Linked DNA regions of Mus musculus: regions 2, 3 and 4 are each reported to be linked to region 1. The links are microRNA targets in miRTarBase. Many come from high-throughput screens and were not tested one by one. Region 1 holds a microRNA gene; each other region holds the end of a gene's coding sequence. Distances are from middle to middle.
Evidence for each region. The annotated mature microRNA mmu-miR-290a-5p reads ACUCAAACUAUGGGGGCACUUU and lies in region 1 at 2,700-2,721, opposite strand. An mRNA with a match to its seed (bases 2 to 7 or 8) in the 3' UTR can be bound and repressed. Matches are read on the target gene's strand: a 7mer-m8 pairs with bases 2 to 8, a 7mer-A1 pairs with bases 2 to 7 and ends in A, and an 8mer does both.

Region 1 (7,719 bases):
AGTATATAAACAAATGTGGGCTTAAATGTGGCTATGCTTAAAGGCACCTTTAAGCTAGTACAGGGTAATTCTTCCTTAAAACCATTGGAGGGGTGGCATGCCTAAATCCCAAGAGGCAAACAGGGGTGTCTCCCAAAAGGTGCCCTATTACTGTTGAAAACACTTCCAGCTATGTGTTGGTTTAACTTTTGGGGATTTTTTCAGACAGGGTTTTTCTGTATAGCCCAGGATTACCTTTAGTCTCAACCCCAGTGATTAAAAGGGTGCTTGCATGCTTGCAAGCTTTTTTTATCCCTAGGAACCATGGCGGGTGTTTTAAAACAAAAACTGAGAAAGCAGCAAAATCAAGAGAACAAGACTTTATTATTCATGTTTGGAGGCTGAGGGCACTGGTTGCTCCCATAGCACCTTGGTTCATTCAATAGCACCCACATGTCCCAGTTCCAGGAAACCTTCATCTGGATTCAGATACACACTACACATGCATGAAAGCAGCCGACCTGTGAATGGTGCCCACAGGAGAGACTCAAAAGTAGTAGCACTTTCTATGTACAGTCCAGAAGTGTGCCCCACATTTGAGTCTCACCAAGATGAGCAAGCAAGGAGTCTCTGGTTGATTGAAGTTCCGATGCTTTCTCCACATGGCAACACACAAAAGGGAAGCACTTTCCACTTAAAAGCTTAGATAGGGCCTCCATTTTGAGTATGGCTATATGGAATTTCGCTAGATCCAAACATGCCTACAACTGAACTGAAGATTAAGGATTATTCAATGCCAAAAGGATAAATGCAGCTATATGTAATACAGTACCTGTCAAATCTGGGTCACTTCCCGTGAGGTTCCGTGCACCTCAGCTTTTACTTTTGCCCCATTACAGACTGAATCATACCCACAGATGACACCCAAATGATGCAACACTTAGGCCAACTGCAGTTTCTCAATCGGCAACACTACAAACTCTGCGGCACTTCTTACAAAGAACAAAATGTCACACAGTTTGAGTACCACAGATTGAAGCATTTCCACAGGGACCTGCTGTGGTAATAAACCTGAAACTTTATAGTCAGTTCTTAGCCAGACCAGCCAGCCAGGCAGGTTGAAGGCAAGTAAGTACCCCAGGCTAGGCAGGATTACATTCAACTCAACTGGAACACCTGAAAAACAAAGAGAATCCATGAAGATTATGCTTAGGGCACACAATGTAACACCTGTAATCCCAGCCCTCATGAGCCTGGGCTATTGTAAAGCCAAAAGGTATTATGGGTATTATCTACCCGGCTGTCCACCAAGCTTGTTTGTGCTAGGAGCCAGGTTAAAGTCAGCTACAGCCAGCAGGTCCTAAAAATTCAATCCAACCATATCAAGACTCACAACCATCAGTCCAACTACAGTAGTCAAGCAAGATATAGCAACTACAGTAGTCAAGCAAGATATATAGGATCTTTTAATCCCAGGTGGATGGAGCTGAGGCCAGGCTGGTCTACAAGTGAGTTAGCTCCAGGACAGCCAGGGCTACAGAGAAACCCTGTTTGGAGAAAAAGGAAAAAAATTGAAAGAGGACTTAATATGGCGGCCACGTGAGATTTAAAAGTAGGCCTTTCTTTACTCAGACCTGAGGCTTAGACTCACCACCCCTGGACCTGGAGTGCCTCCTTCCACCCTGCCCTGCTTCCTCCTCACCTCCAGCCTTGCAGCTCGAGTAGCCAGTGGCAACGAATTCACCTCCAGCACACATACCTGTTTCAAGCAGGTAAGCGATTCCAGGTTGCAGCTGCAGCCGGCTTTTCAGACGCCATGTACACACAGAGACAAACAAAATGGATGCACTTTCCCGCCAAGCCGCGGAGAGGGCCTCCACTTTGATCGACACTGTATGTTCCAACTTCCAAGACCTGAGGCTCAGCTCCTCCGAGCGAGGCCCATGTGGGATCCCGGCTCCTTTATGAACGCGGAAAGCCTTTAGTACCGCATGCGCCCAAGTGTTCGGACTCAAACCCACATGTGACACCCACCTGCCCAGAAATGCAACCCCAGTGAAAACATGACCCACTAAAACTTAATTCTTAGTTCTTAGCCGTTTTGAGTTCTCAACCGGTGACACTCAAAACCTGGCGGCACTTTTCTTCCGATGAAAATCCAAAAGAGCCCCCAGTTTGAGTATCACAGGCTGGAGGTCAAGCTTAAGAACAATCTACAATGCACCTGGACTCACGACTGCCTTACATCCATCCGCGTCTCGTGGCACCCAACTGAACCGCCCTCTTTAGGATAGGACCCATTAAACTCCAAGCCTAAACCCCCACACAGGTTGTCCGCTCCTGTAAACCGATGCGTCAGATGCAAAGCTATGATGTTTTCCCCATGCAGTGGCACACAAAGTGGAAGCACTTTCTCATTCAGGCTCAAGAGAGGGCCTCCACTTTGATGGCCGCTACATAGGTGTAACAGCTCCAAGCAGCGACAGGACGCACATGGAGCCCCCAGGTACCCTACAACGACCACCTCAGTTACCGTCTACTGGGCAGGATGCCCATCCCTAGCCTTTCGCTATACTCAGTCTCATTCCTTTCTTCGAATCCGTACTCACCACGCTGCAGTTAACCCGGAACACGTGGCACCAGGGCTGGTAAATGTGCCAGATAGCCGTTTTCTCAACCGGCGGGGCTTAAAACTAGGCGGCACTTTTTAAAGAAAAAAAAAAGTGCCCCCATAGTTTGAGTACCGCAAGATGAGGCGGTCCAGACGTTAAAACATTTACCAGGAGGAAAGAACGTGGAGAACTTAAAATTCACTCCAACCTGAAGGAAACCTGGATGAAATCAAGGAAGAGTTAGTACATCGGTCTAACTCAAGGTATAGTGAAACTCAAAATTTCTACAATGAAACCACGTAGTTAATGAAATGTACTGCATAGACTCCCTAGACCTGCCCTCAGTAACTCCTAGCTTTGGTTTCTGGTCCCCAAACTTCACTCGCGCCCAGACTACTCACTTTCCCCACATAGGCTCGTTCCTCCCTTGAAATTATGTAGACCAAGTCAGAAAAAAAAGCCCAACTCTTTTTCCACACACATTAGTTCTAAATGTCTTCTTTGGAGACCAGACCAACCTCAGATGGGCCTGCCTCTGCCTCGGGATTAGTAAACCCAGCCAAACCGTGGGGGCGAGCGAGGAAGGCTGAGTTCGCGGCTAGCCTGCCTTTTAAAAAAGGGGCTCTAGTTTTTAAAAAGTAGAATGAAGATGGCCGTGATGACCTTTAATCTGGAGGCAGAGAGGCAGGCAGAAATGAGAGTTAAAGGCCAGCCTGGCTAGTCATCTCCAAAGTTGAAGCAGGAAGATCTCTCTTCTGGAAATCCTGGATCTACTTTCGCCTCTCTAAACCAGGTAGATTAAAACCACAGAACTGAAGGAAATAAAAAATCTGAAACTAAAAATATTACCTTTGCCTATGTGAGAAGCAGCACGCCGGAGGTATCCCTGAAGACCGCAGAGACCAGCATTCCCGATGTGGAGTAGAAGTCTCTGAGAGGCGTGGGGGAGGCTCTAGGTTCTTATATAGTCTGAAGGCTCATTGGCCCCCTGGACTGGGAGGCTCTGATACCCCTCCCCCACCCCGGAGAATCCTTACTCTACCACCCTGCTTCCTCTGAGCTGAGTTTCCCTGCGGCAGAGTGACCTTCACTGGTTTCTTCTCCCCCCCACCCCCCAGAGGAAACAGATTTCTTTGTTTGTTTCTAGAAGCAGCGCCTTTAATCCTATAGTTTTCTAGGCCGAGGCTGGAGGATCTTTGTTAGTTCAAGGCCAGCTTGGTCTACTATGGTGACTAGGCACGGGACTAGGCAGGGCTACATTCAGTATTAAGATAATAATAAAAATAAATAAAGGAAGAATGTGGGAGGTTCAGTTTATTCTTTCGTTTGAATTTTTTTTAAATCCAGAGTTTCAAATCCTCCCTCTTTTTTACCTTTCTTTCTTTCTTTCTTTCTTTCTTTCTTTCTTTCTTTCTTTCTTTCTTTCTTTCTTTCTTTCTTTCTTTCTTTCTTTCTTTCTTTCCCACACTGAATATGAAGGTCCAAGAACAATATGATAGAGTTAGTTTTCTCCTATGCTTAAATATGTTTTTTTTGGGGGGGAGGGGGTTCAAGACAGGGTTTCTCTGTGTAGCCCTGGCTGTCCTGGAACTCACTCTGTAGACCAGGCTGGCCTTGAACTCAGAAATCCGCCTGCCTCTGCCTCCCAAATGCTGGGATTAAAGGCGTGTGCCACCATGCCCGGCTGTTTTTCTTTTGTTATTATTATTGTTGTTGTTATTATTATTTATTAAATATCTTTAAATAGCTCCATGGATTGAAATTAGGTCTCCAGGCGGCAGGGCTAAAGCTACAGAGGCATATTGCAGACTTGGAGTTTAGGGTTTGTTTGTTTGTTTGTTTGTTTTTTGGAGACAAGGCTCAAGTACGCCAAGCTGGCCATAAGCTCATTAAATAGCCAAGAATAATTTAGGACTCCTAAGTCTACACCTTGTGTGTGTGTGTGTGTGTGTGTGTGTGTGTGTGTGTGTGTGTAATGGAACATTTTTAAAAAATTAATTTAATTTTTAAAAATGTATTCACCCTACATCCTACTCACTGCCCCCCTCCAGGTCACCTCCTTCTACAATCCTTCCCCCAACCCCAGTCTTCTCCTCTGAGTCGCCCCCCCCCCCCCAGCACTTCCAGTCTGTGGGGCTAGGTGCTTCCTCTCCCACTGAGGCCAGACAAAGCAGCCCAGTTTGACCATCATAACTCCGGGACAGGCAACTGCTTTTGGGATAGCCTCTGCTCCAGCTGTTTAGGACTCACATGAAGGTCAAGCTACACCTCGGCTACATGTGAGCAAAGAGGCCTAGGTCCAGCCCATGTGTGTTCTTTGGTTAGTGGGGACTCATAAGTCTTTGTCTCCAATCTTCCAAGGGCTGGAATAGGCATATACCAGTATGCCCAGTTCAGTCATTAATTCCAGGCATATTTAATATACTTTAGATGTCTTGTTAATTGAACAAACAAGCCTCACCAGCAATTTGCTAGGTCTTAGGCTTGGGGAAGCAGATAGAGATATGGGTTTGGTCAAGTATAATGGCACATTCTTTTAATTCCAGCAATGGGTAGGCCAAGCAGCTACAAGTGAAACTGTGCCTCAAACAGCAGCAACAAGAAGGATAATTCTTTCTTTCTTTCTTTCTTTCTTTCTTTCTTTCTTTCTTTCTTTCTTTCTTTCTTTCTCTCTCTCTCTCTTTCTCTCTCTCTCTCTCTTCCTTCCTTCCTTCCTTCCTTCCTTTCTTTCTTTCTTTCTCTCTCTCTTCCTTCCTTTCTTTCTTTCTTCCTTTCTCTCTCTCTCTCTCTCTCTCTCTCTCTCTCTCTCTCTCTCTCTCTCTCTCTTTCTCTCTTTCTTTCTTTCTTTCTGACTGGATCTTTCTAGGCTAGGATGCCAGGAGCCTAGCCTGGGATGAGCTACTGATTTAGCTTCTCTTCAACTTTCCCAAGATGGCCTTGGCAACTCTGTTCCCTGTTCATACTGTGTTGAACATAACCAAGCAAAGTGCCCCACTAACTTAACCCTAAGAATTTTATTTATTATTTATTTATTTATTTATTTATTTATTCACTCACTCACTTCCTTACTTGCTTATTTCTTGTGACAGGATCTTGCTAGGCAAGAGAGGCCTGGAACTCACTATATAGACCAGGCTGGCCTCCAAGTCACAGAAATCCACGCATCTCTCTCTGCTTTCTCGAGTATGGGCTTGTACCAAGCTGGCCCACAGTGAGCGTTTTAAAATTATGTTTTGTTGGACATGGTGGCACACGCCTTTAATCCCAGCACTCAGGAGGCAGAGGCAGGCGGATTTGAGTTCCAGGACAGCCAGGGCTATACAGAGAAACCCTGCCTAAAAAAAAAAAAAAAAAAAAAAAAAGTTTTATTTTTGGTGTATGTTGCAGGGAGGGGCAGAGGTGAAATGGAAGCATATAGGTGTTAGACAGTAGCTTGTAGCACTGAGTTCTGTCTTACCTCTTGGGGTCCAGAGATTGCCTTCAGGTCTTTGAGTTTGGCAGTATACCTGTTTATACATTAATACAGCTCAAGGGCTCCATAAAGAACACTTTTGAAAGCACCTAGGGTTAAAAATGTAGAAGCATCTCTTAAGTCCTCCATAAGGCCTCCTTAGAGTTTACCTTTGACCCTTAGGCCTAGCAGGGAGCTCAGAAGTGGAGGGGCAAAGGTGGGGTGCCACTCTGGCTCCCCTTCTCCTCTTTATCATTGTCAGCTGCCTTCCAAGGTTCTGACAAAAACCTTTCTATGATGACACTAAGAAACAGCTGTTTTAGCCCGGTGTGGTGGCGCACACCTTTGATCCCAGCACTTAGAAGGCAGAGACAGGTGGATTTCAGATCGAGGCCAGCCTGGTCTACAGAGTGAGTTCCAGGACAGCCAGGGCTACACGGAGAAACCCTGTTTCGGGAAAAAAAAAAAAAAAAGACAGCTGGGGATATATGAAAATTAGCAAAAACATTGCTTTTATCAGCCCTGCCTTCAACCTTGGGCTTCCTTCCTTTCCTCTCATGCTGAGCTTCAGGGACCCCAGCAGAGATCTTGAGGTTTGTACTGCACCTAGGAAGTGAGGCACCAGGCGAGGTACCTGCTCCCAAGTCCTCCCAGGCTCAAATCCGAAGGGAGATGTATTTCATTCTCCCCAGCCAAAGGGACTGTTAACCTGCAAACTAGTTAGACTTCCTTCGTTACCTGGAGTCTGAATGGCACGGAGGCTGGCAGAATCATAGTCACAGGGCTGAGCTCATTGGCTTCAAACTCATGCCATGACCTCATAATCCCAGGCTGAGCTGCTTGGCCTCAAACTTGTCTACTACAGAAAAATCACCTGCTGTCTCTTTCCTAACACACACTGCTGGCTTTTCTTTTTCTTCTTATTATTAACACTACATTATATAAAGTGATTATATTTATTTTCTGTTCCTATGTGATTAGGGGGTCGCAGGTCAGTTTATTTACTTATCTTGACACACAGATTCTCTATTTAAGCCAGTCTGGGTTCAAACTCAGAAATCTGCATTCCTCTGCCTTCCAAGTGCTGTGATTAAAGGTGTCCACCAACAGACAGGGTACCTCTCTCTGTACAGCCCTGGCTATCCTGGGACTCTCAGACAGCTACTACTCAGTGTGGGGCTTTGAAATGACATTATTGGGTTGGGAGGCTGTGCACATGCTAAGGTGCTCTGGTAGAAATCACAGGGCAGCTGGCCTGAAGAAATTTCTCCTTCTCCTCTGTGGTCCGGGGGATGGAACTTACCTACTGACCCTCTCACCTGGTGTCACTTCTCCCACCCCATCTGTTTCTTTCTTCATAGTAGCATTAAGTTATTATGAGAGAAGGTACTGGAAATTTCACAGAACTGCGGGATGAGATTTGACAGCTGGTGAAGTAAGGACCCGGAAAAAGGAGAGTCATTTTACTTCTTTCAAAACTCCACTGGCTGGGGTGAAGGACAGTCATTTGCATGTCGGCAGCAAGGCTTTTATGGTAATGACCCAGTCCTCCCTCCCTTTGCCACCCAACCCTTGGCTTTGTTTACTAGGATTGAGCATTACAATAAGAATGCTTTCTTCTGTAAATTCCCCTCTGGGCTTGAAATCCTTTTAGGTTCAAAATTAATTGATGCAATT
Region 2 (7,719 bases), 110 Mb from region 1:
GAGGGAAGCAAAGAGCATTTAGACATTGCTTTTTGCTTTGAAATAGATATGTTTGGAAACGCTAAGTAGAAGTTTAAAAAGTAGAGTCATGTAGAGTCATGCTTTGAATATGTGGGTCATGCTTTAGATATGAAGAGGCTATGCAGGTAAGGAGGCTGGATTGATGTAAATGGAAGTAGTACTTTAAGAAAGCTCTAGATTTCCCAGGTTGGACACTCGACGAAAGGCACACCTGCTGCAGCAGGTTCTGACACACCTGAGCCATACATTGCCATCAGAGAACCCTCAGCGAGGTAGCCTTTGTTTACAGTCTAGTTTCTAGAGGGCAGTAGGACTTCCATGCTGGGGCTGGCCTATCTCCTGATGAAAGATTACAGTGCCATCTCCTTCCCATAGTTCTGTGTCTGCCCTCCCTCCCTGACTTTATAGGGAGAAATCTCCTGACATTAGAGGTGATAGAAACCAGAGCTTTAGTCTAGTCAGGCTGTTTCTCTGGGTTGACAAGTTTAAGGTTGAACAGGCTGATTTCTGGAATCTCATGAGTGGAGGGGACCCTGGTGGTTAAGAGCGGAACTGGAAGCACAATGGAAAACTCTTGGACTCTGCTCTCTGCTTTACCACACACAAAAAAGAGGGTTCTTGGCTATTTGAATATAAAGTTGGTAGCACCAGGAAATAGGCTGAACTTTGTAGCCCACTGTGGAAAGGAGCAGCCTCAGCACAAACCCCTCTGTCGGGCCCTGAGTGACAAGACCAGCCTCACAAGGTCAGATTTTAAGACTCAGCTCCTGGTGATAATGCCTTTTCTTGACCACTGGCGCTGTGAACACAGGCTAATGGACTTCAGATACCAGGGCCCCGGGATCACCTGGGTTAGCCTCTCCCACAGGAAGATCCCTTACCCCTCATCCCCTCTTCTTTTTGGTCCTTGGCTGGGTAGCAAATTGGTGAGAAGAGCAGCCTAGTCTGTAAGAGTGCAGGGCAGCTGGAACCTTAGGCAGCTCCTCTGTATGCTACCGGCTCCACACCCTAACACTCTCCACCCTCTGCTCCAAACCAGTTCTTCTGCAGAGTGGTGATGTTAGCTTCCCCAGCTCCTCTCCAAGTCTAGCTTTTTCTGTCCTTCTGGCTCCAAGGTGCTCTGTGTCTGTGTGTGTGTGTCTGTCTGTGTGTGTGTGTGTCGAGGAAAGGGCAATCTGCAAACAATGAACAGAAGTTTAAGATCACATCAGAGTAGGGAAAGACAACGGAGGCAGTGGTGACCACTGTGGACTGTGGATGGTGCCCCTTCATTCCATGCTCTTTCTCCCATGGTTCTGAGCAGGCGACTGTCAAGGAAGTGTGTTGTCAGTTCACTGGAGGAGGAGCTGAGATGTGCACCCTTTTAAATGAACATGGGGTGGTGATGGTGCCTTAACAATCTTGACACTAAGGTGAAGCAAGCAAGTAAGGTGTGTGCCTCTGGGAAGACAGGAGTCGGAAGCCAAGGTGTGTGGCAACAGTCTGGAAGAGAGCTTTTGGTAATCATACCGTCTTCAGTGACAAGGCAACAATGCTGTAAAGTGGGTTTGTTTGGTTTTGTTTTTTCTTTCTCTTTTATGGAAATGGCAGGTCTATTTGCCTCAAACGTTATGTAGAAGTAGTTCTAAGTTTAACAAGCAATAGAGATGACTGCTTAGCTAGGATCTGCAGGGAGCTCTGCTCTGCAAGCACAACACCTGTCTCATAGATGGACAGCCTGGTTTCCCTTCTCAGCAGTCCTGGCCTCCCCTTCTCTGTATTCCTTGCCCCAGCTACGATATCCTCATGGGATTTCAGGATGCCAGGTGCCATCAAAGCATGCTTTTTTGTGGTGCCTAGCACTGTGACTGGGGCCCAACTGCCCTGCAGAGTTGGGACCTTGCACTGCCCTAGACCCTGGCTTTAGATCTGCTTCAGTCTCCAGAACAGGCTATGGGATAGATTTTTCTTTCAGTTTATGGCCACCTGCCCAAATTGACTTCCAGCTTACAATCTTCTGTCATTTCAAGATCGTAAGAAGTACTGGGATGGGTTTGAGTTTTCAGCACAGAGGCGAGTTGATCTAGGAGCATACAACTGTACTGAGCAGCTAGAGCATTTGAGCAACCCATGTAATCTTTGTGTTTCCCTCCCTGTAAGAAGGCCTGTCAGAGCTTGCTGTAGGAGTTAGGGTAAATGAAAGTTAGTCCTGGCTCTCATCACCACCTTTCCTAGCTCATCACTGTGCCTTCTTTCTTCCCTAAGAAAGACAATGCACCCCTCTCTTCTGTTCTCCTGCCCCTTCGCCCCCACTGAGGTCCAGGTAGAGCAGATGAGGCTGAAATGTAGAGTGTTCTATAGAGCATCTCAGTAGCATAGAAGGAGAAGCCCAGCTCCAACCTCCTGGACCCCATACTGGTGACCAGCTTGGTGAGGACAGGCAAAATTTCTCTAGCTGAGAGCACACTTAGCCAGTTTTCACGCCTAGAACATATATGTCGATTTGCACATGATTGTCTTTTCCTATTTTGGAGTGGTCAGACATTTTATTTTTGTTCAAAATTATCTGGAGTTTTAGACAAACTTGCAAAACTGTGCTTTTATTAAGTGACTTTTTGAATAAACTTTTTGGTATTCTGAAGCAAATGTATTTATTTATTGGTATGTGCAATGACAAACTTGGTATTTTCCCATAATGACATTATGTATGTTGTAGAATTTAGTGTTTGTCTAAGTACAGACATGTATCAACACATTAAACTTGAACTGTTTGACGGCTGTGTCCTTGGTTTTCATAGAGAAGAGAACATGTCTCTCCTAAAATGTTCTCCATCCCAGTCCTTTCTAGGCGCTTCAAAGGGTCAGGTGCGTAAGAGCAACTGAGGGCCCAGAGCACGTTTAGAACCAGTGAGTGGCATACAGATCAGCACTGCCTTCTCCTGTGAAACCACATCTATAGCATGGGGAAAAAAGGGTTAGAGGATACTTCAGGTCATCTGGTCACTTAAGGAACTGGCTGACAGTTCTTAAGTATGCTTGGTGGACATGGCCCTTGTGGACAGAACTGGGCTGTAGTACTCAAGAGTGGGAAAGGCCCAGCCACATGACTGCAGGCCTTGCTTGGAGGTGGGTCTATTTAAACAGGACTCTTACATAGTGGGAACCCTTTTTCAGTCTGTGGTGGATTTGAGGCCAACATGATGAAAGCCTATAGTTGTTCTAAAAGGAGTCATCACAAAGTCACAAGAACTCCTCAGAGTGACTCTGGACCATTCTTGGCATGCAGAGTGGCCATAGAGTATCAAGTTGGGTAGTCCAGAAGCATGAGATTCAAGACAGTGATGTGCTAATAAGCACCTACCATTGCACACTTCACACTGGGCAGCTTTCAGAAACAGTCCTGTAAGGTGGACGTGATTCCTGGTCCATCCATAAGGAAAGTGGTACCCTTTGAAGTGAAGGAATGGCCTGGTTTTTTGATACTACAAAGTGTTTTAGACATGCTAATGGTTAAGGAGATTACAGAATAGTTGATTAGTATCCTTCCTGATCACTGCCCAATAGGTGACATATGAAATGTTCTTTGCAGATACAAATTGTCTAAATAAAAAGAATTTAAGAGCAGGTCTATAATTAGGGTTCATTTATCTACTCAGCTAAGTGTTTTTGATGTGAGTCAAAAGCATTCCCTACCTGAACATGGCCTGGTTCCTGTAGTGATTGCATTTGTGAAGACCATATACAGGGTGTTCGACAAAGGGAAGAGGTTTTGTTTGTTTAGTCATCAAGTTTAAGAAAAAATCCTCAATTGTGTAGAACACATGCAGAGGAAAATCTTTATTTATACCTATTACCTCTGGTTTGCTCTTGATTGCCAACTTAAGGGGCTTAGAATCACCATGAAAACATACTTGTCTATGAAGGTGTTTACAAGAAAGTTAGTTGAGGAGGAAGACCCATCCTTACTATGGACAGTATCATCCCTTTGGCTGGGGTCCCAGACTGATAAGAGGGGCAAAACAAGCCAAGTGCTGTGTATCATCATTCACCTCAGCTCCCTGTGAGCCTGCCCGCTGGCTCCTGCTGCCCTGAAGGACTGCCCTCAACTACATGCTCCTCCTGCATTGTTACCTTCCATACAATGAGAACGTTTAATTATGCCGTGAGTTTAGGTTCTTCTTTCCAGAGTGTCTGAGTGAAGACCATTATTGCTTAAGTCTAAATACAAAGAACATAATTCTCTCAAGCCATTATTTCTAGAGGCTGAGTCCATCTCCACTCTTCAGCATACCTCCCAGGCCCAGGCCTTGAGATAAGGAGGCACACAGTCTTGTTCCATAGCTGTGTTAAGGGGTCTTCTGGCTGATCACCCACCTGACTTACCAAGCACACTCCTAGGTGATGTACAGTGGCTTCTTAGGCCAACTACTGCTATGGTGCCCCATAGGTCACTGGAGACCTAATGGTAAGGCCTTGATGAAACCCTTAATATTGAGAAATGAAGATCATACAATGAAACCAAGCCCCTTGATTTTGGTCAACCTGTAAAAATCATATCTAAAAGATAAAATTCTGGGAAAAAATGCCTATATTCCAAATTACTAATAGGTTCTTCAAAGTTTCTGGTATATACAAACAAATATATTCCTATATGCAGACTAACATGTAGAGTGGCAAGAACCATGAAGGACTGGTCCTTTTGGCAGGAATTGTTTCCATAGCTAATCCCCAATGATAGAGTTGGTGCTAAACCCTTTTCACCTGATTACCCATCTATACACCAACCACACTGTTCTTGCTAACCTACTTTTTTTGCCCAAATGTCCTTCCTCCTCTTGCCATGTTTTAGCTTTCCACAAGGTGTCTCTGAGATTTTTTTGGTACTTGGCAAGAACATTCTTGTTCTTCTGTGCTCCTACAGTTTAGGGTCCACACTATAATGAATAAAACAGCTACCACATGATATGTTGTTTTGCATGAGCTAACAACATAAGCATGCTGCCCTATGTGCACTGACTACCTCATTTGCAGCTTACAGCCCTGTAAGACCTGTGTTTTTACTACCCTCACACTTTATAGATGCCCAACCAGGCTTGGGATGCTTAAGGAGCCAATCCAGAATTCCACAGCCTGAATTGCAGGGAAATCTGTCTGAAGAATTCACAATCTCTAGCCTTCCTATGGTCCATAGTGCATCTGTTAGATTAGCACATTAAACTGAAATTCGTACAAATTCAGTCTTCTTAGTTGGGGCATTGGACTATGCACAGACACTCAGTACTTAGCACAGGGCCGTTGTCCAACAAATGAATGAGAAGGAAACAAGTTCTTATCTAATAACAGAATTATATCCTATGAACAAAAATTAGAACCAGTGATACGGGGCTATCTTAAATCAACTTCTCATGGTGGATGCCAGAACCATCCAGAAAACAATCTGCTCAAACAAGAGTATCTGCGTTGCTTTTTACACTTAGTTATGTCAAGACCATCTTCAGTACATGTTCAACTGCATTCTGCACAATTTCAATCAAACATTCTACACAGGGATTGGTACAGTGCAGCGTTTGTGTTTCTCTAGTCCCGTTAACATGTAAAGCTTTCTAGTAGCTGACAGTGTCTTAGTGTGGTCTCAGACCTGATGACAGCCAGGGCAGTACGCTCCTGAGTGGTCCAAACTATCTTCTGGCATCATAGGCATGCCAGGCACAATAGAACTCTAAAGACTATCCAGCTTCACAGAATTCCTTAAATTTTGAGTCTCCCATTTCATGACTCGGAATGTTGTTGGAGATGCACAGCCTTTCAGCTTTCAATTCATGTAACTGAACTGACACACCCTTGTTAGAATTCTCAGGGTTTCCTGGCTACTTGAGCTCCTCATGGAAGGACCACCATACTTAAGCAGTCCTGTAGCTTCAACAGCCTCAAACTTCAGCTCTGTGGGACACAGATTAATGCCTCCAAATCCCTCTAGCCACAGAAGACATTCAGAGTTGCCTCTAGATTTGGCAGTTCTGTTCAACAGAATAAAGACAAAGGAAGCAGGGATCGAGGGAATATACAAGCAAAATGGTCTCCAAATAGGCCCGTGAGTTCATGGCCTGCTGCTCTGGAGGAGTCAGGGCATCTTAGAAGGCTGTGAGGAGAGACTGCAGCTCAATCAGATATCTTGCTGTGCTCTGGGCCCCTAGGCTCAGAATTGAGCATGCTCTTCTCAGGGACCACTAACCAGCTGAAGGCCCAAAGAATAAGGCATTTGGGAATCTAAAATCTTCATTCTTAAAACTTAAGTCCTCAATATCAGCTAACCCAGTTCTCTTTCACGGTCATCCTATCCTAACAAATCCATTCAATAAATCATTCACAGGTAAATCATCTGTTGCTCCTATGAGGAGGGGTCAGACATTTGCCTAGGTGGTACCACCTGCAAGCACAAACAACCAAATACAATTACCGAGTGGATTAGTGTCTCTGATAGGGAAACTCATGAATAGGAAGGTGATTCTGTGCTGTGTTCACACTCTGATAGGGAAGCGCATGACTAGGAAGGTGATTCTGTCCCGTGTTCACACTACTGGCTACTTTACAAAGTGACAGGTGTGCAAGCACCGGGAAGGATTAGCTGTATCCATGGTAGTGGCCCAAGAGCTATGGTATTGAACACAGAGGATGCAGAGGGCACAAGGCCATGGATGAAACTGAGGAAAGGTGCCATGGGAACAGAGTAATGGATACTTTCCCAAGCAGGCTGCTTTCACTCAAAACCCTGGGGGTTGCGCTTCCTCAACATACCACCCACGTGTGCATTATCAGTGCTGACTCCCAGCCCTTCATTTGTAAAGTCCTGGGGCAAGTTTTCCTTGGTGGCTTCCTCTTGCTCACTGTAGCCATCTGCACTGAAACCAGCATTCTCTGCCAAGACAGCAGGATCCTCCTCTTCATGAACACAGCAGGAGCATGATTCTGGTTTGGGATCACACGGGGCAACAGAATTATCTTTCTGGGCTCCAGGGTCAGTGGGCAAATGATCCCAGCTCAAACGCTCTGATCCTTCCTCTTCTATCTCTCCCATTTGTTCAGCAATTTCTTCAGCAGAGGGCTCTTTTAGGTCAGGGTAATCCACCAGGATTGTTTCTTGCCTACGCTTGATACCATCCGAAAGGTCATATATTGGATAAGTCTCTTCTGGGTAACCTAGAGAGGAAAGTAGCACAAAGTCTTAAAAAGAGCATCTTTGAAAATAAATAGTGTCAGGATCAGAGAGCATTCTCTGGCAACAGCCATCCTATCCTAACAAATCCATTCAATAAATCTCTAAGATGGTCCTAATAGTCCTCAAGTTTCACTTGAACAAATTCTGAGCAGTCTGGCTGACTGTCTCAGTGCTCTGTGAAATACAACCCAGGGCAGAGGAAAATCCTTTGTAAGTAAGGTGCTTGGGGTAGAGGTAAGTCTCACCCCTCATGTTTCTGCAGCATTGATGAAGATTATGCAAACAGCATGAGCCTTCAGCGCTACAGATGGAGAGGGCTTAGCTTAAGGCTAGTATTTACAATTTCTATTTGGAACCAGTTCCAAATCTTCTGGTGGAGGTGGGGCTGGGAAAAGGAATGCTAAGCTCTTTGAAAAATAAACCACAGTGCTTTCTACTTATCAAAACAACCAAATAGTCTGTAACTGTCAGAAGCTGGGGCAAGTTAGCAAGACATGACCAAG
Region 3 (7,719 bases), not on the chromosome of region 1:
TCTATCAATAATATTTCAGTTCCTGGTGCACAGATCTTATTAATTTTGATACTATCATTGCAAATTGTATTTTTAAAAATACGTATTTAAAAGATATTTATTTATTTATTATGTATATAGCATTCTGCCTGCATGTGTGCCTGCAGGCCAGAAGAGGGCACCAGATTTCATTATAGGTGGTTGCTGGGAATTGAACTCAGGACCTCTGAGACAGTGCTCTTAACCTCTGAGCCATCTCTGCAACTCCTATTTTCTTAATTGACTTTAGATACACTGCAAATGTATAGAAATGCAGCTTTTAAAAAAAATATGGATGCTATGATCTTACTAGCTTTAGTAGTTTCTCCCCCTACCCGCCATCCTGCTTCCTCTTCTCTCTCTCTTCTCCCTTTCTTCTCCTTTCCTCTCCCTGTTTCCACCCTCTTGGCCACTCTCCTTTCCTATCTCTCTCCCTCTGTGTTTTTGAGACAAGGTATTCCTGGCTGGCCTGGAATTCTCACTGTGTAGTCTGTGCTGGCATCCAGATCAGAGAGATCTGTCTGGCTCTGCCTCCTGAATGCTGGGATTAAGGTGTGCACCACCATTTCTGGCCTCCACAAGTTTTCTTATTGTTATTCTTACAGTTGTCTGTGTACAAGATTGTGTCATCCACAAGTCAACCTTTTTCTTCCTCTTAGTTTTATTAGAAATAGAAAGGAGTGTTCTGACTTAATATGAGTAGATTTGTCTTAAATCAGCAACAACGATTAACAAGTATTTATAAATGATTACAAAATCATTACTTAATGTAATATTTATATGCATATAGAAATTCTGGTAATAAGACTGCTGCATGTTCATTGTAAAATGCAGAAAATCAGACATATTTGGAGAGTTGGTTACACAATAGGTTGGACTAGGAATCAGTCAAGAAAATATAAACATCCTTGTAAATAATCTTTTTTTCCCTTTTATTGGATATTTTCTTTATTTACATTTCAAATGCTACCCCCTTTCCTGGTCTCCCCTCTGGAAATCTCCTGTCCCATTCTGCCTTCCAGCCCTGGCATTCCCCTACACTGGGGCATCGAACCCCCTCAGGCCCAAGGGCTGTTCCTCCCATTGATGTCCAACAAGGCCATCCTCTGCCACATTCGCGGCCAGAGCCATGGGTCCCTCCTGTATACTCTTTGTTTGGTGGTACAAGAGTCCCTGGGAGCTCTATGGGGTCTGGCATAGTATAGCATTCTTGTTAAATTATTTTTAAATTATTGATACAAGGTACATTAACATCATTAATAATACTATTAATTTTTTGTTTGTTTTTTGAGACAGTCTCCATATCTAGCCCAGGCTGTCTTGAATTTGGTGCTCCTCTTTTCTCTGTTGTCTTGGTGTGCTCCACTATGTCTGGCTGTGCTTCTACAGTACTTTACACTTGGCAGTTAATTGTCTCTCTTCTCTTCCTCTCTCAGGTGGATGCACGGAGCATACCAGTATTAGCAAAATGGCAAAATTCCTATAGCATTAAAGTCATACTTCAAGAGCTAAGACGTCTTATGATGTCCAAAGAAAATATGAAGCTTCCACAGCCTCCAGAAGGACAGACGTACAACAACTAACTTTAGTGGATCTCAAACTTGTCTTAAATCAGCAACCTTCTACTCATGTTAATGTCTTGATTAAATATCACCATGCACAATACCCACACAATAAGTAAAAGAATTGCAGCTGGTAAACATGACCTGGACAGTTGTAAGAATATATTTAATATATGTACACCTATTATGTTTTCAGGTAACAAGAGACGTGCAGCACAATTTTTCTTTCTATTAAAGCACTGTCATTTAAACATGAACCTGAAGTACTCAAAATGGAGTTCAGGCTTTCAAGACAAAAGCATGACAAAAGAGTGTCATGTGGCCATGGAAACATTTGTTTTTCTGGAAAGTAAAGTCTCAAGAAGGAAGAACAGAAATGGCATGCTTTATCATATTTAGAGCTGCAGTTGGAATTGTTTAAAGTAGCAGATACAATGACTAGTCAACAATTGTGTTAATTCTTGAAGCGGTGTGGGTGCTGACTACTATTAGTACAAACATAGGTTCAGGATTGTTTTGATACCTGTATTTATAATAAAAGGTGTTGGGGTTTTGAATTTCTGTTAAAAGCTGTTCCCGTTTGTTACATGTAACAGACATAATAATTTGTTTACAGTCTTTGTTTAGTAAAACATGCTTAGATGTTTTAAGTGAAGTCAACAAAAAGGAAATAGGTGTATGGATATGTGATTTTGAGATGAAAGTTAGTCTTAAAATGTAAATAAAATATGGAATGTGTCTTAAGAGACTGTGCTATTTCTGTTACATTGATATATGCTATGGTAGCCATATCATGGTAGCAAAATTGGGAGTTATTAAGCTAGGCATGGTAATGGCAGAGGCAGGCGATTACAAGTTCCTGGCCAGCCTGGGCTAGTACATAAGACTGCAATTAAAACAAAATAAGAAATACTGTGAGACTATCAAAGACTTTCATTGAAATTCTATTCTATATGCCTATGTTTGGAACTTACAGAGCACTTGTTGTGACACCGTACATGCTCAGTTTAATTTCTTCGCACAAAGAGGTATCTCAGTTACTATATTTCAAATTTTATTTCATCATAGGCAATATTAAAAAAGATCTTTGCATTTTAGCAGTTTTTGTAGCTACAAACTGCAAATTATTCAGTACTCATTTAATTTTTTCTTGTGACATTTTAATTTTTCTGTAAAGCTTTGGTTCATTACAATTGACTGAATTGAAGACTTTCCTCCCCTATCTTTAATTTTTTTTTTGTTATTTAGTGTGTGTGTGCGCAGTGTGTGTGGTGGGGGGATGTGTGCGCGCGCATACGTGTGTGTACTTGTGTGAAGATCAGAGGTTACCTTTGGAGTGTTGGTTCTTGCCTTCACTTTCCTGTGTGTTACTGATGTCGAACTCTGATCACCATGTACCATGCGTGTCAACAAGGGCCCTCACTGCAGAGCCATCTCATTGGTTCCTCTTCTAAGAACAACGGAAGTTAATTTTATCATTCCACTCTGTTTACTTTAACAAATATGTGTCTGAAGTTGAAAGTTTATTTTTATTCTTTTATCAAATTGACAGTTTAATTGTCAAAATAAAAAAATGAGATGTTCAAACTTTGCATATAAAGAAAGTAAAGGGAACAGCATGACTAGTATACTGATTACTTTTGGTTACTTTTATAGCAAGGATAGGTTTCTTGACATATACTTGGTGTGTTTTGATTAAGCTGTTTAAAAGTTAATGTTTTTTTAGTCATTAAACTAGTTTGTCTAGACATTATCATCACTGTTGTAGTTTGAAAGAGGGTACCACTGTATAACCTATGATGGCTTCAAACTTGCACAATTATTTCTGTCTCAGCCTCCCAAGTACTAGTTCAGGTGTACACCATGTCCAGCATAAGTGGACTCATTTTAAATGAGCTAGTCTAATTATCAACAAACTTCCTTTATTCGTGTTTTGTGTGTGTGTGTGTGTGTGTGTGTGTGTGTGTGTGTGTTGGGTGCATGCAGAGGCCTTAGGTGGTATCTGGAGTCTCTCTTAATTGTTCTTTCACTTTATAGTGTCAGACAGTGTTTTTAAATGAAGCCCAGAGCTCACTGATGCAGCTAGACTTGCTAATCAGCTTGCTATAGAAATAGATCCCCCTGCCTCTGCTTTCCAAGGCTGGAATTATAGCCTTACCTGTTATTTTATGTGGGTTCTGGGAATCGGATCTCCAACAAGCATTTTCAACCATTGAGCCATCTCAGCCCCTCAAAGATGTTCTAAATATTTAACCACATAGAACATACACATAACATTTTCCATGTGTAATTGATTAAAGTAGACTTAAATGAAATATACTAATATTTAATGATTAAAGATTACATTCAATTGCATTGACAGTATAGAGTCATTACCAGTTCTTTTCTGCCTTGAAAATGTGTCTTGTGATACTTGGAGCTAGTAAGTGTTGGGATGCTTTTGATAGCCTTTGGTAGAATCTGGTACTTTGGTCTCATGTTGTCTTTGTATATGCCACTGTGAGAGTTCTCTCCTCCACCCAAGGCTGTTTGTCAGAGCCCAGCCTATTTAAAAAAAACCCCTTTCTTGTTTAAGGGATTGTGGATCTTAGCATAAATCTATGAGTCAGTTAACAGATTTCCAAAGCAAAATCCATTTTGCATGTAACAGTTATATATGATTATCTAAGATTGATGAAATTTTAGAGTTAATAGAGCCTCTTTTAAATAAAAGCAAATCTTCTTTTGTAAAGTGACTAGGATTGCAGGAATGTGGTATAAATAGACTAGAAATTTGCCTTAGAAACTTGTTTCAAGAGATTTTAAAGTATGACCCTTGATGACTATATGTTAATAAAAGTTAAAAAGTAAAATTCTTGTTCCAGTAGGTCCCTGTTATACTTTAATGGCTTTAACTATTTGTTATTTTCAGAATTGGTAATTTTTTATTATTTGTTAATTTAAAATAAAGTTATTGCACTTGTTTAGGGATCTGTATATACTTTTCTAGAATTTTTGTAACAAACATTGGGTCTGTCACAGGCAGTCTTTTGGGTGTGAAAACAAAACCTGTAATTTTACATTGACCTTTATAAAAACTATTTTACTCAACATTTGGGTATGTGAATAAATAGGGACTTTAGTTTGATTTATCAGGACAAGTACTTCACCAAGACTGACTTCCATCATCGAAGTGTTCTTCAACATTAGAATGCATGTGAAGTTGATATTTGAAAATTTAGAGCATTGTTGAAAACCACTCTTAATAGGTTTGATGTTTATGGCTTTAGGCCATTCTCATAAGTTCAGTCAAAATCATGTCAGCTTCCTAAATGAGTTTAAAACCATATATTCTTGCATGCTTACAAGGATTTTGGAAACTACTTAAGGAATCTTACAGTTTTTTTCCTTTATAAGAATAGTTTTTAGGTATTTGTATACAGAGCTACAATATTATTGATTATTGGGAAGGATAGCAGACACAGATCTTACTTTTCTGATAAGTAGCAATACACTTTCATTGCTTCAGTTTGACCAGTTTTTGTTCAGTTGTAATGCCTCAAGATTTTGGAAAGATGTACATGTTTTCTGAACTAGAAACACCATGAAAAGGAATAAACACAAGTGGTAGGAACACAAGTGATTAACTTACATTCAGTACCGAGCTTACTAAAAAGCAGGGAGTCCACAGGAATAGAATTTCTAAAGTTAATGTTCTTTGGAGAAGTTACCAAAGACTGAATAAACTTTTTCTCTAAAACTATATTTTGTGTGTGCCTGTGACTGTGCATTTGCATGCCTGTGTGCATTCATTTATGAGTGTGTGTGTGTGTGTGTGTGTGTGTGTGTGTGTGTGTGTATGTGTGTGTGGCCAAAGAACAACTTAGGAATTTGTTCGCACCTTGCACTGTGTGAGGGGTTGAACTCAGGTCATCTGGCTTAGATGCAAGTATCTTTACCCACTGAACCATCTTGCTTGTCCCAGGGGAATCTGATACTGAACATATTGGATGTTTAGGAAGTTTTCTGGAATTTTGAAAAGATACACTGTAAGTATTTTCTGAAAAGAAAACTAATAAAGGTATTTGTTGATACAGGAAATAAAAATGAAGACCATTTTGTAAAATCAAGGAGTTTGAAAAACTCATAGAATGAGTTACATGATTTAAAAAGCCATTAGCAGGCTGGAGGAGTGAGCCTGATGTCTTGTTTGGATATGCAGACGCCATGTAGAAAGCGGGACAGTGTAGTATGTGAGTAATCCCAACATGTCTCTACCAGCAGGTGTGGGGAGACAGAACTTTTAAAAGCAACCGCTGGTTGCTGTGGTGTTTATATCTTCAATAAAAGGTGTGCAGCTAAGAAATAAGGGTTTTGCCCCATCTCATTTTTCCATATAATTTAAAAATACTGCGGTAGGTTCCCCCTTCTAAGTTTATGAGATCAATGATAAAAGCTGAATCAATCTCTCTCTCTCTCTCTGTCTGTCTGTCTCAAGAGATTTATTTATTTCATGTATGTGAGTACACTGTCATTGTCTTTAGACACACCAGGAGAGGACATCGGATCCCCATTACAGATGGCTGTGAGCCACCATGTAGTTGCTGGGAATTGAACTCAGGACCTCTAGGAAGAGCAGTCAGTGTGGGAATCACTTGTCTACCTACTTCCCACGGACAGAATCAACATTGCCCAGAATTTCCCCAGTCTTAGCTAACTGTACTGTGAGATGAATATTTGCTTAATTGGGAAAATGAAGGCTCTTAAAGTACAGTGCCTTGGGTTACAGTTGCATTTATTACTTTCCATAATTGAAGTTTTCTATAAACTTTCCATAGGTTATTACTGCTAGCCTCTATACTGACAAATGTTGGCAGTTGCCCCTTAGCCACTTCAGATTCTGCCTGTACTAAAGTTGTCAACAACTGTTGTAGGTTAAAAGTACAGGTTCCTCCCACCTCAGCTTGGACCTATCTCTCTTTTTTTCTTTTTTTCTTTTTGAGACAGGGTTTCTCTGTGTAGCCCTGGCTGTCTTGGAACTCACTTTGTAGACCAGGCTGGCCTCGAACTCAGAAATCCGCCTGCCTCTGCCTCCCAAGTGCTGCGATTAAAGGCGTGCGCCACCACGTCTGGCTTTTATCTCATATTTTTAATCCATTCTTTGAGTAAATCATTTTAAAAACAGAATTCTTTATTCTCTCAGGGTTAGTTACTCGTTTTTGAACATGAGTTTTTTTTTCTTTAAGTAATGTCTTCATTTGCAATGAATTTATCTCGTTCTAAAATTTGCATACTTCCAGTAGGGTTCTTTTGGTTGTAGCATTTGGCCAGTTTTAGTGAATGTTACCCCTGGAGAATGTTTACTTTTATGCAATTGCTTGCTTTTATACAATGTTTGCTTTTATGCAAGCCCCAATTTTTGGCTACCAATAAAGTAGAAGATATTCTAAGGTAAGGAGGAGTCCAATTGTAGTCACAGAGCTTCCCAAATCCTTTGAGGTTTGATAGTATAAGTTTCATACATTTGGAATTTAAATTTTGCAAGTTATTCCTAGAATTGGCCTTTCTATGATACATGTGGATAGTTCCCACACTGACATTACCTGTTACATTTGTAGGGCAGTTGGTCATTCTATAAATGAGTCTAAGGTCACAGGACACAATCCAAAATATCTTGGCAAAGCAAGAAACAAGCAAAAAAACCCCACTTCTGGAGAAGGATGTATAACCATGTCAAATCATGCAAAAAATATCCACCAGAGGTCTGGTTGGGTTTTATTCCTAGTATAAAGGGGTCTCTTCCCTCTTTGAGTAGTCAGAACTTGGCCTCATACTCACATATAATTGGCTAACTCAGAATGATTCAGCCGATAAGCAAAGTTCAATTTTTTGATGGGAGAATATAACCTTGAGCAAATATTTTGATTTTAAAAGTGTTGACTTGTGATGGAAATTGAATTTCTGCCAAGTGTGGAGAGCTTTTGGGAGCTGCTTGGCAGGAATCTGACGTTGGGCTATGACAAGGAAGCACGCTCAGACAGGAATCTGATTTTAGGCTAGAACAAAGAAGTAGGCTTCAGGCAGGAATATGACTTTGGACTAGGACTGGGAAGTAGACTCAGTTATCTTGGTCATCCTGATAAGCCCTTAAAAACAGTGA
Region 4 (7,719 bases), not on the chromosome of region 1:
TCCCACATCGTGGTGCTCAGGGACACTCGCTGCCTTGATCACTTGAGGACATGCTGTTTGGTGTTGTTTCAACGGCATCAGACAGGACAGGGGAGCTGGCTCAGGTGCACACCTGGAGAGATGTCAGGGGCGTAACTCTGCCAGTAAGCCTGGAAACTCGGCTCTGCAGTCAGGACAGCAAGTGACACGGGCACCTCTGCTTAGCATTGCTTGGCTGTTGTGATTCAGAATCTCAGCCTCTCTCAGGAGCCTGACATTGGAAACCTGCCCTACCAAAGACATTGTTCTGATTGGTGACCATGGCACTTGCTGGGACTTGATGCATGGCTGTCTGTACAGGCTGGAAAGCCCTGGAAAGTCAAGGGTGTACACACATGAAGCTTTCTGGAACTCGCTGGGATTTAAGGACCCTCAGAGCAGAGGCCCCATTGCTCCTTGACTGAACTCTGTCTGAGGTGGCGGTGCAGCCAAGCTCATCCTTGTGACAGGAGACAGATAAAGCTTCAGGCTACTCTCTGGGGTCGATGCACAGGCTGAAGTCCCATTAGATGGAGGTCCACACCCTGTCTCTGCTCACCTTGGGGTCCTAGGCGTCTAGGGCTTCAGTTCCTGCAGATGATAGTGAAGAACACCTGACAGTGGCTTTTAGCTTTCCCCATTTCTACAGTGGTTTTGCTAGGATTGCCTTATCTGAAACAAATTTTCAATGAGCCAACCCATGTCTCTTTACTGTCATGGCATGCACTGGGCTGGAGGCAAGTTCTGAGCAAGGACCACAGGGAACAGATACCCACAGCCTGAACCTTCCTGCTTTAGCAGTTATCTGGTGGCTAGGGAGAGACTGGGAAACAAAATTTGCCATGTGCAGACTGAACACTGAAATTTCAGACAAAAGATTCTTTTGGGGGGCGGGGGGGTGTGGCAAACACACGATGTGGTGCGCTACTGTCTAGTAAGTGCTGGCCACTTGGTCTCTCTAAACGAGCTACTGTGAATGCCAGCCATAGTGAAGTACAATTTCCCAGTGGCTATCCTGACAAGAGACTTGGATGGATTGCTCTCTTCCTGAAGGTGTGCAGTAGTGTGGGTATCAGAACCAAAATGGCAGTAGATGTTCTGGCTTTGGTGAGTATGCCTCGTCAGCCATGTCATCCCAGGGCAATGGCAAGGCTCCAACATGGGGCATGTGGCGGCTTTTGCATTGCTATGATCTCGGCATGGCCAACCCCACTTCTCTGCTTACTGCTGGAGCGGGGCTCAAGTGTTTTGACTCTCATGCCTGTTGTAGCAGCTTCCCGCCACGCTTGGCTTTGTTTTTGGTGCTGGAGGTCAAAGTTAGGCCCTGGCTTATGCTAGGGAAGAGCTCTGCCATTGAATGGTACCTCTGGCTCCCCAGCAAGCTCTGGATTCACATTTCTCGATTTGATTTCTTGCTATCTGGTTCCAAGGCCCTGTTTTAGCCTCCACCTCAAGGAGTCCCTGCTGCTTCAACAGCAAGGATGGTCGGACATGGGGTAGAAACAGTACCACCCCACCACCTGCTGGCGTCAGTCTCTGAATCCTTCAGTGGAAGGAGAGAATGTTAAGCCAAATGCTAGGTGTGTCCAAGTTGGAACAGGGCCTGAGTGAACACTTCAGAAATACCAGTCAGAGGCAGACAGACCTTCATCTCTGTGTGACACTGACATCTCACAGGTACACTCCGGGGCCTCTCGGGAACCCTGGTGAAGGTACAAATCATAGATGTGCACGCAACTAATTGTATTTTATTTTGCCATAAAGCTGTTTAGCCTTAAGACCCTTGAGTGGAAGTCTAACTGCCATTGAGGTGTTGGTACCCCTTTTTACCCCATCTTGTGTGGCTTAGAAAAGAGGCCTGCCTAGGTTTGCTCTGGCCCTCAGATGCCCTCTCCTCCCTAAATGTCCCTGTCTTTGTTGCTGCTTCATGTACTGCCTTCTTACTCGCTTCAATAAAAACTATCTTCACCAGCTCCGGTGCCCTCCACCTGGAAGAGTCCTCAGAGTCCTTGAAGCACCGACCCTAAGCTTCCAAAAGAGAACCATTTTACATCCAAGGTGTTGGTGTGGAGACATGTTGCCACCTCTCACACAGTTCAAAGGAATCAATGTGAACTTACCTGAAGCTTAAGTGAGTCTCAAGTAAAACGTCAGTCTTCACACTAGTGTATCAGAACCTTTAAAGGAGGTCTTGAATTCCTGCAGGTGCCAGACCTGGTGGGGGCATCTCCACCTGCCACTTGACCTTCCTTAGAGCTACTGACTCTTTATACCTGTGACTTCTGAGTCATCCCATCGACCTATTAGTCCTTGAGAAGTTCACAGCTCAACTTTCAGAAGTCAGACTGCTTCTTGGTAAGAATGCAGCACCCACCACCCCCACCCCAATGAATGTAGCCTCTTAATATTCAGACACTGTATTTCAGCATCAGTTGGAGACTGTCCACCATCCAAGTTGCAAGGACATTTATACTCATGAGCAGTTCGTCATCCTGAGGCTTCTCATACAAACATTCTCCATCAAATCCTGCCAAATCCTTTATTGGGGTTTTTGTTGTTGTTGTTGTTGTTTCTTTTTCCTCTGTCCGAATGAGCATGAATAAACAGGTGCAAATGAGCTGAGGCTATTTTTGTGGTCAGCTGAGGATGCTGCCAAGAGCTCCCCTGTGTGGCTGTACGGATGTGGAGAACATGTGGGCACTCCATGGATGATACCCCCTTTCTTGACATTTTTAAACAAGCACAAATGATATTTGTAAAAAAAAAAAAGTTTAATTTTATTTATTATGGTAATAAACTATTTTATATGTGATACCTGTGTTTGCCTTTCCTTACATACTTATGTCATCCAGTGAGATGCTTTCTCTCCTTCCGGCTGTTCTCTGCTCAGTTCCCATGAGTGGCTGACTTCCAACCACCTGGAATGCCAGCTCCAGGTGATCCAACACCCTCTTCTGGCTTCTGAGGCACCTGCACACACATGGCATGCAGAACATAACAATAAATCTTTTTTAAAAAAAATATGTGGGAAGCTCTGATGTGGATGGTGCCTTGCATCCATCAGTTTCCATGATACTGTGGTAAAGTACCAGACCAAGCAACTTGCAGAGAGGATTTATATTAGCGCATGGCTTGAGGGTGCAGTCCACCCACCAGGCCAGGGATTCCTGATCTAGCAACCCCTCAGAGACAGACCCAGAGATCCTGTAATCTAGGGAATCCTAGACGGTGTCAAGCTGACAGTCAGTATGACCTATAATGGATTGGGGAGACAGCATGCTTCATGTCTAAGTGCTCCTTACGGAGTGACCACAGCATGTTCTCTGAAGTTTTACCTCTGCAATGAGCCTGAGAGGCTGCCTCTAAGATCTTGGTCTTGAAGATCTGGGTCCTTCACAGCCAAACCACAACAAAGTCCTTATCTCCCATCACAAAGGCATCAAGTTTCAATATGAGTTGACAACCCACATTCAAATCGTAGCATTTGCCTTAACACACCTCCCGTTCTAAAGTGATGGTTTTCATCTTGAACAATTTGACATGGATTTTGAATAAAGTACATTAATGTTTTCCCTACTTTTGAAAAGACAGCAAAACCCACAACCCAGTGTTTCCTGAATGACTGTCAACAGCACTGGGTTCTCACCCTACTTCACTATAGTTTGCAGAGCTATTGAGCTGCCTCAAGCAGTCCTACTCAGTGTTATCCCACAGGCACTGAGTCAGACTCCACAGGACTGCCATCCTGTGTCTTATTTAAGATCCAGTGACCATCAAAGTCCAAAAAGCAGACAGTGGGACTTAATTCTGGGACGAGATCCATTATGTGAAACCAAAGTCAGGACATGGAGAACCTCACTGACCACATCAGAACATGGTGTATTTGAGAACATTCCTTCAGTCCCCTATTTCATTACATTACAGAAGGGCATGGTAAAACTAATAATGACATTGTTTAAAATCTCAAATAACTAATGCTCATTTCAAAGCGCTGAACATTAATTGCATCTTTAATCTCTAATGGTTAAAACAAACAAAGAAACAAATAGGGTTTTTGTAACTAACTAGCAACAGAGACAAGAGGAACCTTTGGGGTAACAAGTAGAATTCAACCTTATTGTATACATACATCCTGATATGTTTGCTAAAAGTATAAACATTATAGTTAATTTCTAGTACTTAGCTAACCTATAGTTGTATTTTTAGAAAAGCAAAGAAAAAAGTCTCAAGTTCTGTAAGGGGAGCACTACTAACTACCATTACCACAACTCTTGCTAACAGCTAGATACTACAGGTATCAGTAAAAGTCCATGTTCTCACAACTTGCAAGCCTAATGCCATTCAGTATTCTGTGTGGTTCCAAGAATTTATGATAACAGCAGGACTTTGGTTGGCATTGGGCATCTTGCTTCCCTCCTTGGGTACTGGCTGGGCAATTGCTCATGGAACTAGGTCAGGGATCAGAGGTCCTGGGACTGACAGGGACTCAAGACTTTATCCAGCACGCTTCCGGAACTGTCTCGGAAGTTGTCCTGGTGGGTGAGGATGACTGATTGGTGGATGAAGTTGACTGATGCCCAGGAACCGGACTCAAGGATCTATCTACAGCAAGTGGAGACTACACTGGGAGGTGCTTTTCTGTTATGTTACATCAGGGATCAGGGAAAGGTGAGACAACAGAGCCCCGGATAATCCACACAGAGAGCAGCAGCCAGCTGCTGAGACCATGACTGAATCAGATCATTTTAATGAACTTCTGGGTTATTATGGCCAACCACTCACTGACTCTTCCAGTGTAGTCTCGGGGATAGGTTTGCCTTTCTATTAGACACTACAATCATTTTTACACTACGGTTTTTCTCAGTGAGTCTTTTCCTTACTTGAAGGCTTCAGCCAGACTCCCTCTGGCTGACCACAAATACTTACTCTGTTGTTCTAAAAGATGGCACTCATTTCAGTGGTTGCCCCCCACATCCTTATAACTTCCCAGCATCCCACACTTGCCTGCCCTGCGTCTCCCTGACTCGTCTTCCTCAGCCAGCTGCTGAGTTTGCTACTGCCCAGCTTACCTGCCTCCTTCTGGTCTGTGCTTTGTTCAGGTAGCACAGTGTGCCCAACCCAGTCCATCAACATCTCTCTTGCAAGCATGGCAGCCAGGAAGAAAGGGGATCCCCTGATGGCAGGGTGTGCCTTGCAAGGGCACCTGTTCCATTGAACTGGCATTCCTAGGCACGATTCGGGACACTATCACTTAGAAAATGAGACAGCACAAAGCCCAGCTGATCTTTCCCTTGACGGTCACAGGGTCATAGTTCCTATAGCTGGAGTGTTAAGCATTCCCTCCAAATTCCACACACAGAGCTTCAGAACTTAGAGCTTCCCCCCTCCCCTCCTCCCACACGAACCCAGAGCCAAACAGAACCACAGTGACACTTGTCAGCAGCTGTCTAGAAGGATGAAGTATCAAGACACATGTGTTTAGATCTCAAAATTTTTATTTAAAAAATATCCAAAATAAGACCACAAAAAAATCAGAATTATCTATGTAGCAAAAACAGGTTCTGTTTTTTTTTTTTTTAAATGAGAATAAGGCAATAAAACCCACTGAGTAAAAGTCATGGGACCTTGGGATGTCACTCTCCCCAGAGGCCTTGCGCAACACCACCTGCATGTGGACATCTTATTCTCTGGCTTTTAAACTCCACTTCTGTGCAGAACAGCTGTGAGAGGAACCACCATGTTCCTCCATGGCTACAAGTCTCAGAAAGCAGCAGCCCTGTGTGGACTCTCCAATAAAGTTCAAGTTACAGAACTCTTTGTAAAGCCCCAGCTGCACATCACCCACTCTAGCTGGGCCACTTGAAATGTGAAATGGTTCTGCTGATCCCCTGTCTAAGGACCATTCATGCGAAGGTTAGTCCAGAGCCCCCAGGGCAGCACATAGAAAGGAGACATCAAAGTATCTCAGAATTTCTCAGAAAGACATCCCAAGGATGGCAAGCCTATCCCTAACCAGGACTTCCATATCAAAACACACATCTGCCACACCTAAGCTTTGGTAGAGAAGAAAAAAAAAAAAAAACAAGCAGGTTCATGGGAACAAATATCACAGGTATAGTCAGGAAAACCTGAGACTGCTCTGGACTGTACCTTGTGCGTCAGGAAGCTTCTGGGGGGGACGCGACAAATCTCTGAGGCTCCAGAGCTAGAAGTTTGAGTTGTGTATTTACTGTGATTGATGAAGCTGCCAGTCCTGGAATGAAGCGTCTTCATTAGAAGATGAGTGGAAGGTAGTCCCTCAGGGACTGTCCTGGAGTGGAGGGTGGTCCCTCAGGGACTGTCCTGGAGTGGAGGGTGGTCCCTCAGGGACTGTCCTGGAGTGGAGGGTGGTCCCTCAGGGACTGTCCTGGAGTGGAGGGTGGTCCCTCAGGGACTGTCCTGGAGTGGAGGGTGGTTTGAGGATGGTCTCAGAATGAGAGATCAGGATGAAATGCCATGTCCCTTGGAGGCTGAGCTGGCCCAGCAGCCATACACAGTTAAAGAACTGTGTATGTCTGAGCCCAAGCAATGTCCACGTGAGAATAGCAGTACAGGAATCCCAGGACAGACAGAGTCACCCATGGCCACCCTGTGTGAAGAGAGACAGAGACGAAGAATAGTTAGAATACCTGGGTGTGCCCTCCCTCGTGGGCAAATTGTCCCCCAAGAAAAGGGCAACAGAATCATAGACCTCCAGAAAGTCAACTTTGTGTGAACCCAGCAGGTGGGTTCCTGTGTTCTCACCAGGTGCACTGGGAAGTGGTGGTTACATTACTGCAAAAGCGAACTCACTTAGAAACAGGGCATGCTTTTAAAGAGCATGTCCTTTGGAGACTAAAGCAAATAACTAGAGAGATACGCCTATGGGTACCAAAGTCAGCCTCCAACATGCAGACCACTGGTACAGTGAACACAGTGGTACTTTTTAGCACATAGAAAGGGAGGACCCTAGATTAGATATTAGATTTCAAAACTCAAAACATAGGGCTGGAGAGATGGCTCAGCAGTTCAGAATGCTGCTGCTTTTGCAAGGTCCAGAGTTCAGTTCCTAGCGCTTACATGGTGACTCCCTATAACTCCAGGTCCAGAGAATTTAATACCCTATTCTGGCCTCCACAGCCACTGCTGCATTGTTGAACACATAACTACACTCAGGTACACATACACTCAGGCATTCTTGCATACATGCACACATGTGCACACCTGTGCATACATGCACATATATATGTACACACATATTACACATATGTACATATACTTATACACACACTGAGGAACACACACACATATATACAGGCATATACACATGAACACATACACACATATACTCAGGCACACATATATACATGCACACACACAAATGCACACATATACATACACAAGTACATACACAAACACACACATGCATGCATACATGTTCATACACAAGTATGCACACAAACATACACATGCATGTACACAAGTTCATACACACACACACATACACACTGAATAAACAAATATATCTTGTGAAAGAGAACTAACTGTCAAAGTTTGGGAGTGGAGGGATGATTCAACTATTAAGAAAACTTACTGCTCTTGCAGAGGACATGGGTTCAGTTCCAAGACTTCAAGAACTTTAAGCAGCTCCTTCTACAGCACACACATCTTAGGCTATCTGAT

Region 2: the mRNA of Ric3 is a reported target of mmu-miR-290a-5p. Seed matches in the 3' UTR shown: 7mer-m8 at 5,927-5,933 and 7mer-m8 at 5,441-5,447.
Region 3: the mRNA of Ube2v2 is a reported target of mmu-miR-290a-5p. Seed matches in the 3' UTR shown: 7mer-A1 at 2,272-2,278 and 7mer-A1 at 6,557-6,563.
Region 4: miRTarBase lists Hhat as a target of mmu-miR-290a-5p. Seed matches in the 3' UTR shown: 7mer-A1 at 5,502-5,508.

Annotation. Positions count from the first base shown.
Region 1 is chr7:3,213,641-3,221,359 of GRCm38, reverse strand. Mir290a (microRNA 290a) reads right to left here and starts at 2,734; the gene lies at 2,652-2,734. It overlaps Mir290b (microRNA 290b), which reads left to right and starts at 2,665; the gene lies at 2,665-2,722. D7Ertd143e (DNA segment, Chr 7, ERATO Doi 143, expressed) reads right to left here and starts at 2,576. Exons shown (of 1, transcript NR_028425.1): 1 at 345-2,576. Mir291a (microRNA 291a) reads right to left here and starts at 2,441; the gene lies at 2,360-2,441. It also overlaps Mir292, Mir292b, Mir291b, Mir293, Mir294 and Mir295, and 1 more gene. RefSeq lists a cis regulatory region at 5,758-7,719.
Region 2 is chr7:109,031,687-109,039,405 of GRCm38, forward strand. It overlaps Ric3 (RIC3 acetylcholine receptor chaperone), which reads right to left. Exons shown (of 6, transcript NM_001038624.1): 6 at 2,633-7,197. The coding sequence ends at 6,758. It overlaps Tub (tubby bipartite transcription factor), which reads left to right. Exons shown (of 12, transcript NM_021885.4): 12 at 1-2,773. Among named protein-coding and RNA genes, the nearest start is that of Tub, 25 kb to the left of the region's middle.
Region 3 is chr16:15,550,279-15,557,997 of GRCm38, reverse strand. Ube2v2 (ubiquitin-conjugating enzyme E2 variant 2) reads left to right here. Exons shown (of 4, transcript NM_023585.4): 4 at 1,455-7,012. The coding sequence ends at 1,601. Among named protein-coding and RNA genes, the nearest start is that of Gm41424, 25 kb to the right of the region's middle.
Region 4 is chr1:192,507,330-192,515,048 of GRCm38, forward strand. It overlaps Hhat (hedgehog acyltransferase), which reads right to left. Exons shown (of 12, transcript NM_144881.4): 12 at 5,499-6,646. The coding sequence ends at 6,555. It overlaps Kcnh1 (potassium voltage-gated channel, subfamily H (eag-related), member 1), which reads left to right. Exons shown (of 11, transcript NM_001038607.2): 11 at 1-2,830. Among named protein-coding and RNA genes, the nearest start is that of Gm31011, 5.0 kb to the right of the region's middle.